Linked DNA regions of Canis lupus familiaris. The main gene of each other region encodes a partner of the protein of the gene in region 2 in a complex. Links are inferred from orthologs where the notes say so. Each region holds a gene or a part of one and is shown on either strand. Other genes may lie near its edges. The genes, in order: NBR1, GABARAPL1 and STBD1.

What was found.
Region 1: the proteins of GABARAPL1 (region 2) and NBR1 are in contact, whole or in part, in an NMR structure (PDB 2L8J), measured with the Homo sapiens proteins. The link is inferred for Canis lupus familiaris from reciprocal best matches to the Homo sapiens genes GABARAPL1 and NBR1. Residues at the interface, in NP_113600.1 of Homo sapiens: Glu12, Tyr13, Lys16, Glu17, Lys20, Ile21, Lys24, Tyr25, Arg28, Pro30, Lys48, Tyr49, Leu50, Val51, Pro52, Phe104; in NP_005890.2 of Homo sapiens: Ser729, Glu730, Asp731, Tyr732, Ile733, Ile734, Ile735, Leu736.
Region 3: the proteins of GABARAPL1 (region 2) and STBD1 are in contact, whole or in part, in a crystal structure (PDB 8X8A), measured with the Homo sapiens proteins. The link is inferred for Canis lupus familiaris from reciprocal best matches to the Homo sapiens genes GABARAPL1 and STBD1. Residues at the interface, in NP_113600.1 of Homo sapiens: Glu17, Ile21, Tyr25, Asp27, Arg28, Pro30, Val31, Ile32, Lys46, Lys48, Tyr49, Leu50, Val51, Pro52, Asp54, Leu55, Gly58, Gln59, Phe62, Leu63, Arg67, Phe104; in NP_003934.1 of Homo sapiens: Glu201, Glu202, Trp203, Glu204, Met205, Val206, Pro207, Arg208, His209, Ser210, Gly213.

What each region holds. Positions count from the first base shown.
Region 1 is NC_049230.1:19,813,858-19,818,967, forward strand, and holds part of NBR1 (next to BRCA1 gene 1 protein), read right to left. Parts: intron 4,407-5,110; coding exon 4,215-4,406; intron 2,391-4,214; coding exon 2,313-2,390; intron 1,793-2,312; coding exon 1,578-1,792; intron 1,084-1,577; coding exon 916-1,083; intron 628-915; coding exon 418-627; intron 1-417. UniProt on the Homo sapiens protein: Ubiquitin-binding autophagy adapter that participates in different processes including host defense or intracellular homeostasis.
Region 2 is NC_049248.1:10,351,065-10,356,935, reverse strand, and holds the start of GABARAPL1 (gamma-aminobutyric acid receptor-associated protein-like 1), read right to left. Parts: upstream 3,404-5,871; 5' UTR 3,122-3,403; coding exon 3,032-3,121; intron 1-3,031. UniProt on the Homo sapiens protein: Ubiquitin-like modifier that increases cell-surface expression of kappa-type opioid receptor through facilitating anterograde intracellular trafficking of the receptor. Involved in formation of autophagosomal vacuoles.
Region 3 is NC_049253.1:39,244,740-39,250,648, forward strand, and holds STBD1 (starch-binding domain-containing protein 1), read right to left. Parts: upstream 3,940-5,909; 5' UTR 3,911-3,939; coding exon 3,724-3,910; intron 2,181-3,723; coding exon 1,321-2,180; 3' UTR 1,144-1,320; downstream 1-1,143. UniProt on the Homo sapiens protein: Acts as a cargo receptor for glycogen. Delivers its cargo to an autophagic pathway called glycophagy, resulting in the transport of glycogen to lysosomes.

The DNA.
Region 1 (5,110 bases), on a different chromosome or scaffold from region 2:
TATCAGCCAGTATGGAACCTCATTGGCTGCTCTAAGTGTCAACAATGACTATCAAACCACCCTTTAGAATGCTAGATCAGAGAATGGGAAGTTTTAATTCTTTCTTTTTTTTAAGATTTATTTGAGAGTGCGTGAGCAAGCATGTGTACACACACTAGTGAGTACACGGAGAGGGAAAGAGAAACTTCAGCAGACTTCCCATGAAGCAGGAGCCTGATAAGGGGCTCGATGTCAAGACTCTGAGATTCTGACCTGAGCTAAGTCGGATGCTTAACTGATTGAGCCACTCAGGCACCCCAAGAATGGGAAGTTTGAGTCTGGGTGTTAGGGGCTGCAGATAAGTAAGAGAAAACCTGATTGAAGTTCTGGTTTCGGAAGGCTGGACCTCCAGCCTAGGTGCCCCACCCTTGGGCTTACATCAGGGTGTTTGACTGCAGCAGGCTCTCAGATCGGCCTAGAGGGGACCTGGGGCTCTGGAGTCCATGGATGGAACTCCACAGATGAATCTTCCTGTGGAGCTTAAGCTGTTTTTTGAGTTCTTTGACCTCTGCCTTTCGTTGTTTCTTCTCCGCTCGCAACCTTTGCTTTTCTGCTTTAAGAAAATTCTTGTCGACCTGTTTCTGGAGCCTGTGAGGTAACAAATAAAAAGTCTTAAAAAAAAAAAAAAAAAACCCAAAACCTCACAAATATTGAAGCTATCTTGAGCCACTGGTAGCCTCCATCAGTGCCAGCTTCTAGCTTAACTTCTTTCTACAGTTCTCGTTTCTGTCTCATTAGCTTCAGCTCATTGTCCCCATTATCACACATAACTAGAAATGCACAGGAACTAAGTAGACTGTCTGCAATTTGATCCCTGCCCCATCACAATGGAGACACCCATCAGAGAACAAGCCTCCTGTGTACTTATGTTTTTACCTGGCTTGTTCCAGAGCAGCAGGAAGACGAGGGCCAGGGAACCTTGGGTGAGAGAACGCTTCAGAAGAACCCATCACAGGTCTCCGCAACTTCAGCAGGATGTGGTTGGAGTCATGGGTATATGGCCCCGATTCACAATCTTCACAGATATTATAGGATGGGCACAGGCTGTGGGGAAAAGCATGACAAGTCCTGGTGACACAGGAGACCAGACTTCCATACTGGCTGTATTATCAGCTGGGTGTGGTAACCTGAGCATGTCACCTGGCCATGCTCTATCTCAAGTTTCCTTATTAATAAAATGAAAGTAACAGCATTTAACATGTATCTGTTTCAAAGGACAATCTATGGGAGGAAGCAAAATATGAAAGCATTTGGAATAACAGGGTGATAATCCCTGATGATGTAATTTTGCCTTGGGGAACATAATTTGTCTAGTTCTGTTAGTTCAAATGCATATGTGAATACAACAACAATCTGAATAGTTAACCTTTGTATAGTATTTTTTGTGGGTGACAAACAGCTTATTTCTAATCCAGAGCAGGTATCTATGTGTGATATCCAGAGACAGAGTATGCCCAATTTTCTGCTACCTCTCCAGATGCCAGGAAGGCCTGTTCAGAGGTCTTCTAACATGTATGCATTCCAAAGTGAGTGCTTACCTGCACTGGTAGCGCACACCAATGATCCTCCTTTGGCAGCTGTTGCAAGCAATACGCCAGTTGAACTGGTTTTCTGGCAAAAACAGCGTTTCCTCTGAAATGGGCATTGAGCCTTCTGATGGACAGGAACCCAAGGACGGGTTCTGGAGGACAAGCTTCTCATGTAATTTCTGTTCAAGTTTCTCAACCGTTTCTTTAACTACTTGTTCTCGGAACTAGAATACAGAACAGATTAACGGGAAAAAAACCTCAGTTCCAACATTGGAAAAAAGTCTGAAGATACCAAATAGACCAGACACCTCACCATCTCTGGTGTAAGAACATCATAAACAGCTACTAACTACTGAACAAATGGACAGAAATGTAACAAAAAAAAAAAAAAAAAAAAAAGAAATGTAACAAAAGAAGGTCTATTCTTTCCATGGGTACACTGAGGATACCAGAAAAAATCATTGTGATGAGTAGGTTTCTAACCTCTTCCTTCCTTCTTACCTAAGCACAGAGATTTGTTCCTTTCCCTTACATCCTTAGAATAAGGCTCCCTCTTTTTCTGATACATCCCTGTAGAAGTTAGGAACTTTCTGGACTAGATTTGCTCTAGTTTAGAAATGATTAGCTATACTCTTCATTCATCTGCCCCAGAGGCAGCAGCCGTGTGGGTTGAGCTTTCTATTTCTCCCACACTTCACCTGTGCCAACACAGCTGCTAAAGCCTACTCCAGAGAGAACACTCACTGTCTCCAGGTAGCTTGTGAACCAGTCTGGGGGCTTGTCCTGAGGCTGGTCTGTGTCGCGGGGAGCAAGTGGAAACCGCTGCAAGGAAACACAACCCAAGATCTTAGAGAAAATATTTTTTTCTTCTGTTTGAAATAACTATTTTTTAAAAAAGATTTTAAATTTTTTTTAAGTAATCTCTATACCCAATGTGGGGTTCGACCTCACAACCCTGAGATAAGAGTCGCATATTCTACCAACTGAGCCAGCCAGGCACCCTATTTAAAATAATTTTCCTGAAAAAAATATTTCCTGAAATGTAGTACTTTGAGGTTTCTTTTTTGTCAAATAATATAAACATATGGCAAAAAAAAACCTAATAAAGGATGCCTGGTTGGCTCAGTGAGTGTCTGCCTTCAGCTCAGGTCCATGATCCCAGAGACCTGGGATCAAGCCCCATGTGGGGCTCTCTGCTCAGTGGGGAGCCTACTTCTCCCTCTCCCTCCCCTCCACTTGTGCTCTCTCACTCAAATTAAGAAAATAAATAAAATATTTTTAAAAGGTATGAAGAAGCATACAAGGAAAATAAAGTTTATCATCCTATTGTCCTCTCTCCAGAAGTGTAACCAGTTAGTTTTTTTCTTTTTTATTTAATTTATTTTTATTTTTTTAAAGATTTTATTTATTTATTCATAGAGAGACAGAGAGATAGAGAGGCAGAGAGAGAGAGAGAGAGAGAGAGGGAGGGAGGGAGGGGCAGAGACACAGGCAGAGGGAGAAGCAGGCTCCATGCAGGGAGCCTGACATGGGACTCCATCCTAGGTCTCCAGTATCACACCCCAAGCTGCAGGCGGCGCTAAACCACGGCGCCATGGGGGCTGCCCTTCTTTTCTTTTTTTTTTTTTTTTTTTTAATTTTTATTTATTTATGATAGTGAGAGAGAGAGAGAGAGGCAGAGACACAGGCAGAGGGAGAAGCAGGCTCCATGCAGGGAGCCCGACGTGGGATTCGATCCCGGGTCTCCAGGATCGCGCCCTGGGCCAAAGGCAGGCGCCAAACCACTGCGCCACCCAGGGATCCCATCTTTTCTTTTTTTAAAGATTTTTTTTCATTCACTTGTCAGAGATACAGAGAGAGAGAGAACACAAGCAATGGGGAGTGGCAGGCAGAGGGAGAAGCAGGCTCCACACTGAGCAAGGAGCCCAACTTGGGGCTTAATCCCAGGGTCCTGAGCCGAAGGCAGATACCCAACTGACTGAGTCACCCAGGCATCCCCAGTTACCAGTTTCAAATAGGCAGAGGGGCATCTGCCTTTGGCTCAGGACATGATCTTGAGGTTCTGAGACCAAGCTCTATATTGGGCTCCCTGTTCAGCAAGGAGTCTGCTTCTCCCTCTGCCCCTCTCTCCGGCCCTCCCCGCTTGTGCTCTCTATTCTCCCCCTCAAATAAATAAATAAAATTAAGGGATGCCTGGGTGGCTCAGTGGTTTAGCATCTGCCTTTGGCTCAGGGCATGATCCCTGAGTCCCGGGATGGAGTCTCTCACTAGGCTCTGCTTCTCCCTCTGCCTATGTCTCTGACTCTATCATTAATAAATAAATAAATTAAAAAAAATAAAAAAGGGATGCCTGGGTGGCTCAGCGGTTGAGCATCTGTTTTTGGCTCAGGGAATGATCCCGGGATCCTGGGATCAAGTCCTGCATCTGGTTTCCTGCATGGAGCCTCCTCCCTCTGCCTGTGTCTCTGCCTCTATGTGGTCTCTCATGAATAAATACATAAAATCTTAAAAAAGAAAAAAAAAAAAGTCAGGCAGAGATGGTAACAATAATTCCCAAATCTTTAATGCACAATTCAAATGTTATACCGGAGACAATGAGACAGAAGGCTAGAAAAATTGTAGAGACAGGTCCTGTTCCCTTCATACCTGTGCTGCAGGCTCCTCTGGGGTCTTCATGTCTGATCCTAAGACCTTCACTAGTGACGAATAATGTGCAAGTGGCTTCTTCCCTGCCCTCAAGACTGGCCGTTTTTCTGGTACAGCTGGTGGTGGGGCTTCATCAACACGGGAGCCTTCGTGGACTTGCATCTGCAGTTGGTTTCCCTGCTTAACTGCCATCTGAAAGCAAATGGTATGAAATAAAAACATTGTGTGATTCTTCTTTCCCAAATGAAATCTCAAAGACATTTAAACAGAACAGGTATGGTGAATTATGCTGAAAATACCAGGATTTACCTTTATTAAATCACATGGTATATAACATGTAATAGCCCACTGTTTTTTACCCAAAATGTTAACTAGGAATGGTTTTATTATCAAAAACACAAAAGTAGATTTAGGATAGCACTTTATTATGTGAGATATTCTCACTGACTAGGTTAATACTTTTCTGTTAAACTGGTTTTTATGTAGGACCCCACTTATGGATTTGAATTCCAACTTTAAAAAAAAATCAATCCTAGACTACCAGAACCCAAGAAACTTAAAGTTATATCCTATAACTAAGCATTTATTTTTCCAATAGTATTTCGGGAAGCATGGTTGAGTGGTTACCTCTTTTGAAAGAGCATCTTCTTAAAAATCCTATTTTGAAAACTCTACTTGAAGTACATTTGAGGTTCCATGAAGGTTCTCCAGTGTCCAGAAAGAGATTAGGGGTCAAGTCTATCAGTTTTAGCTCTCCCCCTTTGTAAGCCAGTGATAAGGAGAACAGTTCTTTTATCTATTTTTACACATCAGACTTTTAAGCTTCCATTTAAAAATAGCATTCTATGGCCAAAAAGTTTGAAAGGTATTATTTTAAGATGGGGATCAGCAAATTT
Region 2 (5,871 bases):
GGGAACACATAAAAGGAGTAAAAAACATTATTTTGTGTTTCTGGAGAAAAAGAATCCTGAACCAGGAAGACTGAAGGGACATGATCCCTCTAAAAATTTAGAAGTGAAAACCAGAAAAAAAAATACGTGAATCAGAAATTTAAAAGAAAAAGTAGGAAGAAGTTCAGGGATAGACCAGTGAAGGCCCAACAATGAGGATGGACAGGAGGCATCAGGTTAATAAAAAAGCAAAGGGAAAGAGAGGGAGCCTAACACTGTTTCCCAAAGGAACCCTGAGACCTCCCGCTCCCATCAGTAAGAAGTGACAGAAACCACAAAAAGAGAGCAGAAAAAGAGGCAATAAAATATACTGCAAATAAGATATCCAGACAGGAGGTTGGGATTTGGAGATGAACAGGAGGGGGATGGGTAATCATTAAGGCCTTGGCTTACCAGAAAATATCTTAGGTTTCCAACAACCCCAACTCTACTCATAGGCCCTGGACTAGATGCTTTTCCTCTTTGGTTCTCGACGTGTTTTTTTCTTCTGTGCAATACGGCCAATATTCCACAAGGGCTTTTACAAATTTTAAAGAATAGACAATATGTCCCTAACAGTTTCCTGCAGTGTTGAAGGTTTTCAATACACTGTAGCTATGCAGATACTTTAAGATCCAAAGAAAACCTTTCCTCTCAAGGCAGGAGCACATCCATTCTTTTGGATGGTAGCTAAGAGATAAGGAGGGGCCTAACTAAAACTGAGTTATGTGAGCAGTCAGGGAACCTGATTGCTTTGGTAAATACCAATGGCCCAGCTGGAAGGGGTTTTAGAAATCACTTACACTAACCCTCTTTTCTGTACACTTTAGTACAGCAAGATTAAGGATCTGGCCCAAAACTAAATCTCACAACTCAGAGAGCAGAGCTCTTCTTCCTGCATCACGACCACAAAGAAGGTCACAGGCTGAGCACCTAAGGAGCAGCTGGAACGCTTATAAACTGGTTAAAACCCAACTGAAGGAACCATGAGACCTGAGTGATGATTCTAAGAGCTGACAAGTAATCACACAGGCCAAACATTTTTAACACCAAACAATGAGCAGGAAAAGAATAGGGAAGATTAGCTGAAATACTCTGGGTGAATGCATGTAAGAGACTGAAATGGCAAGGGCTCGGTTTTGAAGAAATACATGGGAATTTTAACTAGATTTAGGAACAGGTACCTTTCAGAGTTTGTGGCTTAGGCAGAGCTACTGGAACAGAGCCTCATACTGTTCTGAATAAATGGTAGTCATTTTGCTCAGTGGGTTACCTTTCTGGCATCATACTTCTCTGACCTTTCTAGGGCTGCAATGTTTTTTCTTAATTTCCAATACCTAACAGTGTGAGTCACACAGTGCCTCCTTAATTAATTCTGAGATTAATTTTCCTTAATTCTTAATTAAGAGAATTGTATTAGAAATTGAGAAACGATATGGCATGGAAGGTCCAACAACCAGAGTTGGAATCTCAGGCTCTGCCACACACCAGCCACAGGAAACCTTTAGGAATCCGTCATTTCTCTGTGCTTCAGATCCTTCATCTGTAGAATGGGATTATAACGGTGTGAAGATTGAGTAAGGTCAGAGGACATGCAATACTGTCAGTATAGAGCAAACAATCAACCAATGAAAGTTAGTTGTCATTTTTAACTATTAGACGAAAGGAGGCTTGCTACCACCACAATTGGGGCAAACTTTTGAAGCTGTCACCCAAAGTCCAGATACCAAACAAGTAATTTGTGAAGGATCATTTACTGGGTGGGTAATAGAGCTAGATCTCCTTTTTAGCTGAAAACCCTTGTGTACAATTCGTGGGGAATGGAACAGACCTAAAGTCTCGCTTCCTTATAAAGGACTGCAGGGGAGTTTTACTGCAGGCATTAAGGCCCAAGTTGCTTCCAGTAGCTGTAACACGATGAAAATTAGGTAAGGATTGGAGAAGAGTCCCAAAGAGTACCTGCAGGTCAAGAACTGACAACACATAATCACAATTACTTTGCCTGTACATAATACGTCATCTTTATCCCAATGTCCCTGCCTGAAGATAGTACAATCTGACAGCCTCTGCTCCTCCATCTCCAAAACCCAACGGTGGTTGTTCCCTCTACCACCACACTCAAAAGTCTTCTGCCTTCCAATCTGGCTGCGCAGCCTACATTACAAAAAAAAAAAAAAAAAAAAAAACAGGCAAGCGGCGGGGGATGGGGCGACGAAAAAAGCGCCCGGATGCAGAAAGCTACCTTAATGTTTCTCTGTTCTCCCCACTGCCGGCACTAATTTTAACCACAGAAACCAGCTTCCAAGACGGAAGCAAAAGGCCCCAGTCCTTCATGGTTGTGTCCAGGTACAATCTGATAGAATAAGTACAGGAGGGAGGCTGGCTGCACCCTCACAAGCCCCTGGAGCCAAGAATGATGAGGCAATCGGGCTGTGGCGCAGAGAACGTGACCTTGTTTTCTGGGCCAGGCCTGTCTCGTGCCCTCCCCTCCCCCCCCCCCCAACAAAGACACTTTTCTCATTCTTATGGAATAAAAGAAAGGATCCACTGATTTCTGAATCTATCCCTCCCAAACCCAATGTTCTGAGAGCCAAAGTCAACTTCAGGGAGACGCATCGAAGGCAGAAATCCATGGCCGCAAACCTCACTGCACCAAGTTATTTCCAGAACAATTTCCCTGGGATTCTGAAGGACGCGAATGTATGGTCCCATCTCGATCCTGCTCTCACTAAAGGGCCACGTTCTGGTCACTTCTCACCCTGCACATCCTCTGAATACTGCTGAGTCACTCAAACGGAGGCTCCGCTCTAAAGATGACGGGGAGAGCGGCCCCGGGGAGACGGGCCGTGCAGGGTCCGCAATCAGGACGTGCGCTCCACGGCTCTCCAGGGGCTCAGCAACCCTAGAGACCACCCCTCTTCTGTGCCTCAGGGCAGCCACCACGACTCCCGGGTTCCCCCAAGCGCGCTCAGCCCCTTCCCCCCTCCTCTTCCCTGCCCCCCATTACACTCACAGGGACCCTGTCCGGATATTTCTTCCGGATTTTTTCTCCTTCCTTTTTCCGATATTCAAAGGGATGGTCCTCCTTGTACTGGAACTTCATGATGGACCGCAGGGTTTCTAAGATTCCCCGGCCGGGGCCTGCCTTCCTCGCGGGTGGCTGCGTCTCTCCCGCCTCGCCTCCCCCTGCCGAATTTCGATGTAGGTGTCAGAACCGCCTGAGAAACGTCAGCTCCCGTCGCCACGCGCCTTGGCAGAGCTTGCAGAAGGGACGTCGGGTCCCCTCGGACGCAAGACGGAGTCGCTCAGGTGGAGAAATCCCGGCGGATTTTCCCCGGAGCCTCGAGCACAAAAACAACACGGCGGCGCGTTGGTATTATGACGTCATGACGTCCCGCCTCCCCGCCCCGCCCCCAGCCTTCGGACGGCAGCGGGGGGCGGGGGGGGAGGGCGAAAGTCGGTCCGGTTCGGCGCGCTCCCCTCTCCCTCTGTCCGAACTCTCCTGCGTCGGGAGTATTGCGAACATATAACTTTTTTACTTCGAATTTCGTTGTGTGGCTGTGACATTAAAAGTGGTTTGGATGCAAAAAAAAAAAAAAAAAATACGTTCTAAAGATATCTTATTCCCTCTTGCTCGCTGTTTCTTGGTTGGATCCAAAAACAAACACAGGGGGCGAAAATCGAGCTCTTTCCAGCTTATTGGGATCTGGAATCTAGGAGAAGAAAGAATGGGGGTCGTCGGGTGCCTTTGGCCCGGTACGGAAGTGCCCGGTGCCTGCACTGTGCCCTTTGCTCCTCGTCTGCACCCCCGCTCCTGGGCGCTGGGCTGGCGCGCTCCGACCGTGACCCTCCTTCACCACGCGCGCGCACGTCATTTTGTTTGGGTCCTTGCCGCAATTCGCTCCTAGAGCGGCAGCAACAACAGAGCATGACTCAGGAATTTGAGATGTAGAAGCTGAAGGGCAAGCTTGTCGTCAAGGTCCTGAGAAGTGATGTCAGTCATCGCTGCCGAGGGCGTCGCTCACGCTCCGATATAGAAATGATTCACTTTCTCCTACGAACTCAGAGGGTGGGCCTGTCTTCTGGAAAAGAAAATAACCAAGCAATTCAGGTGGTTCACAAAGTACCTCTTAAACATTTCTGTTGTTTTTTTTTTTAATTTTTATTTATTTATGATAGTCACAGAGAGAGAGAGAGAGAGAGAGGCAGAGACACAGGCAGAGGGAGAAGCAGGCTCCATGCACCGGGAGCCCGACGTGGGATTCGATCCCGGGGCTCCAGGATCGCGCCCTGGGCCAAAGGCAGGCGCCAAACCGCTGCGCCACCCAGGGATCCCCCATTTCTGTTTTTATTCTGCAAAAATTCACCAGAGGATAGTACTACTTGTTAAGTGTCCCTAAGGTGAAATAAAGTGCCACCCGAAGGGCTGGTGGAAGACTGGTGGGCCACCTGCCGTTGTCGCTTGCCTCTGGCCGTCCCCTGGCCCCACTAAGAATGGAAGAATTAAGGCCTTTCCAACCACTGCCAATGGCAGTGATTCCAGGGATTGTAGATCAGCAGGAGGAAGGCAGAGAAAATTGTAAAAGGTATAGAAGAGAGAGGAAGGACCGCTTTGCTTTGATCAAGTCCAGGGAGCTCTGAAATAAATATACAACAGCAGTCCCCATGTCTCTGGTTTAAAAAACAAACCCACAAAATAAAAGAAACTAAGTTTCATTATTGAAAAAAGGAAAATGAAGATCAATAGCCTTACCTCTTGACGTTAATTATTTCTCCTCCATGATGTCTTTCAGTCCTCTTTAGTATAAAAACCCAGGAACGAGTCTATCACATTATATGTTTATAATTTTTAATCCTTATTTTCAACCAAATGTTAGCTCATTTTAGTTTTGACCCACTATAGCTAAAATCTCTGAAAGGAAGTACTTTACAACCAGCTGAGAAAGATAATTGTGATGGAGATGAATATTTTAAGGGTGTGGTTCTTGGGACACCTGGGTGACTCCTTGGTTGAGCATCTGCCTTTGGCTCAGGTTGGGATCCTGGGGTCCTGAGATGGAGTCCCACATCAGCTCCTCACAGGGAGCCTGCTTCTCCCTCTGCCTATGTCTCTGCCTCTCTGTGTCTCTCATGAATAAATAAATAAAATCTTAAAAAAAAAAAAAAAGGTTTGTTTCTCTGATCAAATCATAGCTAGTTAAAATGCTTATTTTAACTTTTATTTTAAGAATACCTAAGCACAATGGCAATTTATATGTGAAAAATAATTTGAAGATAAAATTTCATTAATATTTCTACCTCAAACCTTTTGTAAATGCTAATACTTCATCTTGGAATACACAATCTGTCATCTTCCAAAGTTTGCTCTCTATATTATCAGCATGATGTTTAAAACATGCAAAAGGTGATTTTATACATTAACACATTTAAGCAGATAAAATATCCAACATTCATTTTTTAACCAGAGACAAAATACTATATTAAAAAGCTCACATTTCAGGAATTCTCATTCATTACTCAGAGGAATGGGAAATGGCATAGCCACTTTGGAAGACAATTTGGTGGTTTCTTAGAAAACTAAACATTCTCTTACAATATGATCTAGCAATCAATCATTCCCCTTGGTATTTACCCCCCAAAACTTAAAACTCTGTCCACATAAAACCTGTACACAGCTGTTTATAGCAGCTTTATTCAAAATTGTCAAAACTTGGAAGCAATCAAGATATTTTTCGGTGGGTGAATGGATAAACTATGGTTGATCAGAACAATGGAATATTATCAATGCCAAAAGGAAATGATCTATCAAGCCATGATAAGCCAAAACCTTAAATGCATATTATTGAGTTAAAG
Region 3 (5,909 bases), on a different chromosome or scaffold from region 2:
TCTTGCCTCTTGATGTTTGCTTTTTTCCTATGTGTCTGTTATAGTGGAGGAAAATATTGGTATTTTATTTTACATCTAAGCTATTATGGTACTAAGGTTTAGATAAGTAATTCAAACATCAAATAAAGATATTAAAACTCACATTTTATTTGTTCAGTTATAATGAAGTTTAATTTCTTCTCAGAACAAAGTCGTACTTCTCTATCACTGTCCTGTTATAATTTTGTTACCCAAGATAGCTGTTGGTCTGAGAGGAGAGGGCAGGAGAATGATTGCTATCAGTCCCTCTGTCAGTCCAGACCCGTGAGAGAACAGGAGCCAGGGGAGAGATGGTCCTACAAAGGCCCTAGAGGGACATGAATGCTGCAGTCCCTCCCGGCATTAGTAGGAGCATCACTCAGGCCACTCACTCAGCCCACACTGGAATCCCATTCCCATTCCCTCTCCTCTTGGCTCCTCCCAATGACCGACTCTAACTAGGCCCCTTGTTTCTGCACCAGTTTGCCATTATTAAGACAAAGACTTACTTGCTACCTTCAAACCATAACTAGCAGGTGAAATCAAGCAAAACAAAGTAAAACATCAGGAAGTCTTACAAGTTCATATCCTTGGTGATCACCTCTTGCGACCAGATATTTCTGATCACAGTTGCATATGGCATTATTTTTAAATAAAAAGTTGTGCATGGGGGCAGCCCTGGTGGCTCAGCAGTTTAGCGCCACCTTCAGCCCAGGGCCTGATCCTGGAGACCCGGGATCGAGTCCCACATCGGGCTCCCTGCATGGAGCCTGCTTCTCCCTCCGCCTGTGTCTCTGCCTCTCCCTCTCTCTCTCTCTCTCTCATGAATAAATAAAATCTTAAAAAAAAAAAAAAAAAGTTGTGCATGTAGTAAGAGAGTTTCTCCAGTTGTACCAATAGGAAAGCAGCTCTTTTTGAATGAGACTTGTTTCACTCCCCGGGTTTAAGGATTACCCACCCAAAGGCTCAAGCTTGAACCCTGGGCAGCCAGTTGGTTTTGCTACGCCCAGGCCAGTCCACACCAGAAGCTTAGCCAAGTCATTCCCCAAGAGGACCAAGCCCTGAAGTAACCATGGATCAGCGAAAATCCACCCATCAACACCACAGGAAAAAAAAAGTCCACGCTCACTGGAAGCATCATCTACATTATATTTCTGCACGTCAGATGCAAGCCACTGGCAAATTTGAAACAACTCTGATGGCTAAATTTGGAGTTCTACTTTATTTAAAATTATTCAGTGTGCCCCACAAACTTAGCCTTTTCCAGATTCTACAACAGCTTCTCCACTACTTTGAAAACAATCAGGGAATCCCCCACCACTTTTGTACCACTTTATCCTCACGACCAGTCTCCAGGAACCTATTGCTACATTCTTCCCAGCGGGTAATCTCCCCATTTTCTACGACTACAAACTTCCATTCCACCACTGTATCTGCAGGCAGGGACACAGAACGACACCAGAACCCATCCTTGCTATACTGGAGTGGGAGGTAGGTACTCCACCTTCCAAGACTCTTGTGATCTCCAGTGATCGCAATACACTGCTTACCAGTGCTTGTGATATAATGGATCTGGAACCTGATGCTAACTTGCTGGGACCCCGAAACCACCGCTACTACCTTTTTCCGTTTCACATCCACTTCCTGACCTCTTGGTTCCATAAGAGTGCTTCTGCCACAGTCCATTTCCTGGTTTGGGCTTACCACTGGAGCCTCAAGGCTGCCACCCAAAGCAGCATCTCCCCAGGATGAGTGCCTGGACACCATTTCCCAGTCCTCATTGTCAGCCCGGTCCTGATTGCTCAGCTGTGCAAGGCTCACTTCCTTCGCTCTGTCAATGACCAGGTTGCTAGAATACAACTTTTCTGCAAAACAGGAAGCTACATTAGCAAGTGTCTCTTGTCCTTTCTGGAATCCCCATTCTCTTATAGCAGATTCAAGGCTTTCATTTCTTGAAACTTCAGAGTAACCCCGAGAGTTACCAGTCTCAGATGCAGCTAGAGATTCTGTGGCTGGAAACCCTCCAGAAGGAACATGCTCTCTTGAACTGTTGCAACCACTGTCTTTTCCAGAAGGACTCTGCAGTCTCCGTGCTGCTTCCTGCAAGTTACCATGGCCTTTGGTCTCTGAAACCAAACATCCATTGCTTTCTTGAAGATGCTCTAAAACAAAAGGAAAAATGTAATAGTGTTAGGCAGTTCTTGCGAGAAAAAAGGCTGGGAAAATAGATTTAGTTGTTGAAGACTTTATCATTAATCTATCTGCAGTTCACAAAATCCATCTCGATTCAAAGCAAGTACTTAATTACCCAGTTCAGACACTAACTGCACCAACAGTGTACTTTAAGAATATGCATGTGTATCCAGTAATAAAAGGCATATCCGGGAGCATCAGTGTGCCCACCCAAGAGTGTAAATGAAGTGGCAAGTGTAGAAGCAGACTTGTGACCCTGTCGTGGTCCTCAATCCCCACAGTCCAGACCGTACTGGCATGCAGCCACATTGTTCTGCTTCTATCATCAAAAACTGTTGTTCCGGCAGAGATCCGCATGGCTACCCTACGGACCCTAAGAGTACACTTGCACTCCCAGGAACTGCATGCACGCTGGGGATCGGCTCTCACAGATGTGGGCAGACCCCCAGCAGCTGACACTGTGGGGGAATACAAGGAACAGTGGTGAGTCATTGTGCAAGAGTTGGGGGTGCTGGTGGGGGAAGAGGACTGGTTTCTCTTTGCCAACCCCATATGCGTTAGGAATATCTTCAACAAAAATAGGCTTTTTGCATCCCCACAGGGACTGTTCACTTTTTTAAAAAAAAATGTTCTCGCAGTTACACGATCCAAGCTCCCTAAAGGCTCGGTTTCCTTCTTGGACGCCTCACTCTCCGTCGGAATAGCTCCCTACAAGACCGAAATCTCCAAAGTCATACAATCAGCACGGATGGGGGGGGAGGCGGTCTGTGAGGGTTTGGCCTTGTTTAATTTTGTCTCTTTTTAATGGAGTCGTGAGACACGAACATTACCCTGAATTCCTCATCTTCCAACCTAAAACATGAGGCTGGCTTTCAGAAGAAGATACATGAGCTCCCTGCTCGTCCCACACCAGCTGTGGGGAAGGCACAGAGGCAGAGTCTCGGATGGCTCCACATGAACACTGACTCCACTAAAAATAAAGTTCCCAGATGTCGTTTTCACCAATGGGTCGGAGTCCAGGCGCGCCCTGGAGGCTGGGGCTTCTGCCAGCGGCCTTCCTCCCCTTACTCGCGGTCACGCAGTCGCCAACATGCACACACGTGAACCGGCTGTCAGTCCTGGTCGCTGGGGCTGGATGCCCTGTTAGGTGGGCCCGTTCCGGGGCTCTGCTCTGCGGCTCAGCCGAGGCCTCCGTGGCCGGGGTCCAGCCCGGGCCCTGCCTCCCGGGCGGCGGGAGGTGCCCACGGCCTGGGGTTCCCGGGCCCGGCCCTTCCGCGGGGCGCGGGGAGGGGCCGTGGGCCTTGGGGCTGGGGCGGGAGAGCTGAAGGGGGTCGCGGGACCCCTGAACCTGGGCGCAGCCGCCCGAGCGCCCCGAGCGCCCCGAGCGCCCCGAGCGCCCCAGCGCAGGTGCGCATCCCCCTGGCGGGGCCGGCGGGGACCCCGCGGTTTCCGCCCCGCCCCGCGGCCCCGGAGCCCCGAGCCGGCGGGCCCTGCGGCCGTGGGGGGCAGTACCTGGCGAGGCGGCCGGCTCCCGCCCGGGCGGTCCGCAGCTCAGTCCCCCGCCGCCGCGCCGGGCGCCCCCCGGGGCCGCGTCCTGCCGCTCCGAGTCGCCCTCGGCCGCCGCGTCCCGCAGCAGCCAGACGAAGATCGCGCCGGCCAGGCCGCCCCCGACCAGCAGGGCGGACCACACGGCGCCCATGGCGGAGGCCAGGCGGCCGCTGCGGGGACCACGGCGCCCGGACGCGCCTCGGCCGCGGGCACAGCCGCCCCCGCCCCGCCCCGCGCTGCGTCCCGACCTCGCCGGGCCCCGGGCGCCTCCTCCCGCGGACTCTCCAGGGGCGGGGCCGGGGCAGGGCGGGCACAGCCTCGGGAGCCCCGCCCGGGCGACGAGAGCATCCACCACCAGGGCCGCTCGTCGCAGCCACGTCCAGTCCTGGCTCCTCCCTCGACCGCTCTGGGGTGTGCTGGCTGCAAACTGCGTGCGCTCCGGTCCGCACTGCGCACGGCAGGGACGAGCTCCCACGGGTGGGCTTTTTTTTTTAATTTTTATTTATTTATGATAGTCACAGAGAGAGAGAGAGAGAGGCAGAGACACAGGCAAAGGGAGGAGCAGGCTCCATGCACCGGGAGCCCTACGTGGGATTCGATCCCGCGTCTCCAGGATCGCGCCCTGGGCCAAAGGCAGGCGCCAAACCGCTGCGCCACCCAGGGATCCCGAGAAAGCTCTTCTTAATTTTTTTTTAATTTTTATTTATTTATGATAGTCACAGAGAGAGAGAGAGAGAGAGAGGCAGAGACACAGGCAGAGGGAGAAGCAGGCTCCATGCACCGGGAGCCCGACGTGGGATTCGATCCCGGGTCTCCAGGATTGCGCCCTGGGCCAAAGGCAGGCGCCAAACCGCTGCGCCCCGCGGGGATCCCACGGATGGGTTTTCTCATAAAACTCGCGGCCCTCTTTGTTAAGCGCTGCGGTGAAGTGCGAGCGTAACCAGACCCTCGCAAACCCAACAACCGCGCGAGAAAAGAACTTCCAGCTCGTCCTCCCCTCGCCCGCGTGTGCAGCTGGAGCCCTTCGCCCGACGCGCACGCGCTTCTGCACCAACTGCTGCGGCCCGCGGGCAATGCCGCCCGGGGAGACCGAACGGAGGGGCTCCCTCTGGCAAAGCAGATCGTTCAAAGGGGCCCCAGGTTCGGGCACACGGCAGCCCTGGCCCAGGTCCTGCAGGGCCGGGCCGTGCCTCCCCCGGGTCGGCCACGACGCCCGCAGAGGCTAAGGGACGGGGCGAGGCAAGGGGGGAAGGAGCCCGGGCCGGCTTCCGGGACGCTGGCAGCCGCCCAAGCCCAACTCCCTGGAGTGTGACCTCCCACCTCCTCCCCAACCCCGCGGGGGCAGCCCCGGCAGCCCGACGACGACGTGGCAGCCACACCCTCCCCAGGAGCAGACCCCAGCAATGTCCAGTCGCCCTCGGCTACTGCTCTCCCCCTCACAGTAGGCAGGAAGGAGCCAGCTGCTGCTCTCTCTGCAAAATCCCACATTAAGAATCCTACTCCTCCGGGCGCCTGGGTGGCCCAGCGGTTGAGCATCTGCCTTGGCCCAGGGTGTGACCCCAGGGTCGTGGGATCGAGTCCCCCATCGGCCTCGGCCTCCCTGCATGGAGCCTGCTTCTCCCTCTGCCTGTGTCTCTGCCTCTCTCTCTCTCTCTCTGTGTGACTATCATAAATAAATAAAAATTAAAAAAAATATTAAAATAAATAAATAAATAAAAAATAAAAATAAATAATAAAATAAAATAACATTCTCATGGACTCTTACTAATTCATTCTTAAGTCATAAGACTATTATAGCTCTAATTGTTTAATGGTCAGAATTTTGTAGAAAATTTTAGAATTTATCTCCTTTTGTCAAAGTAAAACTTAATGTCATAGGATGTCCTTGAATTTTACAAACTCTAAAACAAGTAGAGTGATTTTACATATAGTATGAAAATTCTTGAACATTTTCTTTTTATTTCCTCACGGATAACTTTGTGAGCTGCTTCATTGGTCAAAGTTTCTTTATCAATTGTGCTCACAAATGAAACCTCAACGGATCTGTAAAATCAGAGAAAGCAAGCCCCACTATCCATTTCTAATAACTAGAAGGCTCTTAGTAAAAGTTTATTGTCATCAATCGCTATTTATTAAAAATATAACCAGTA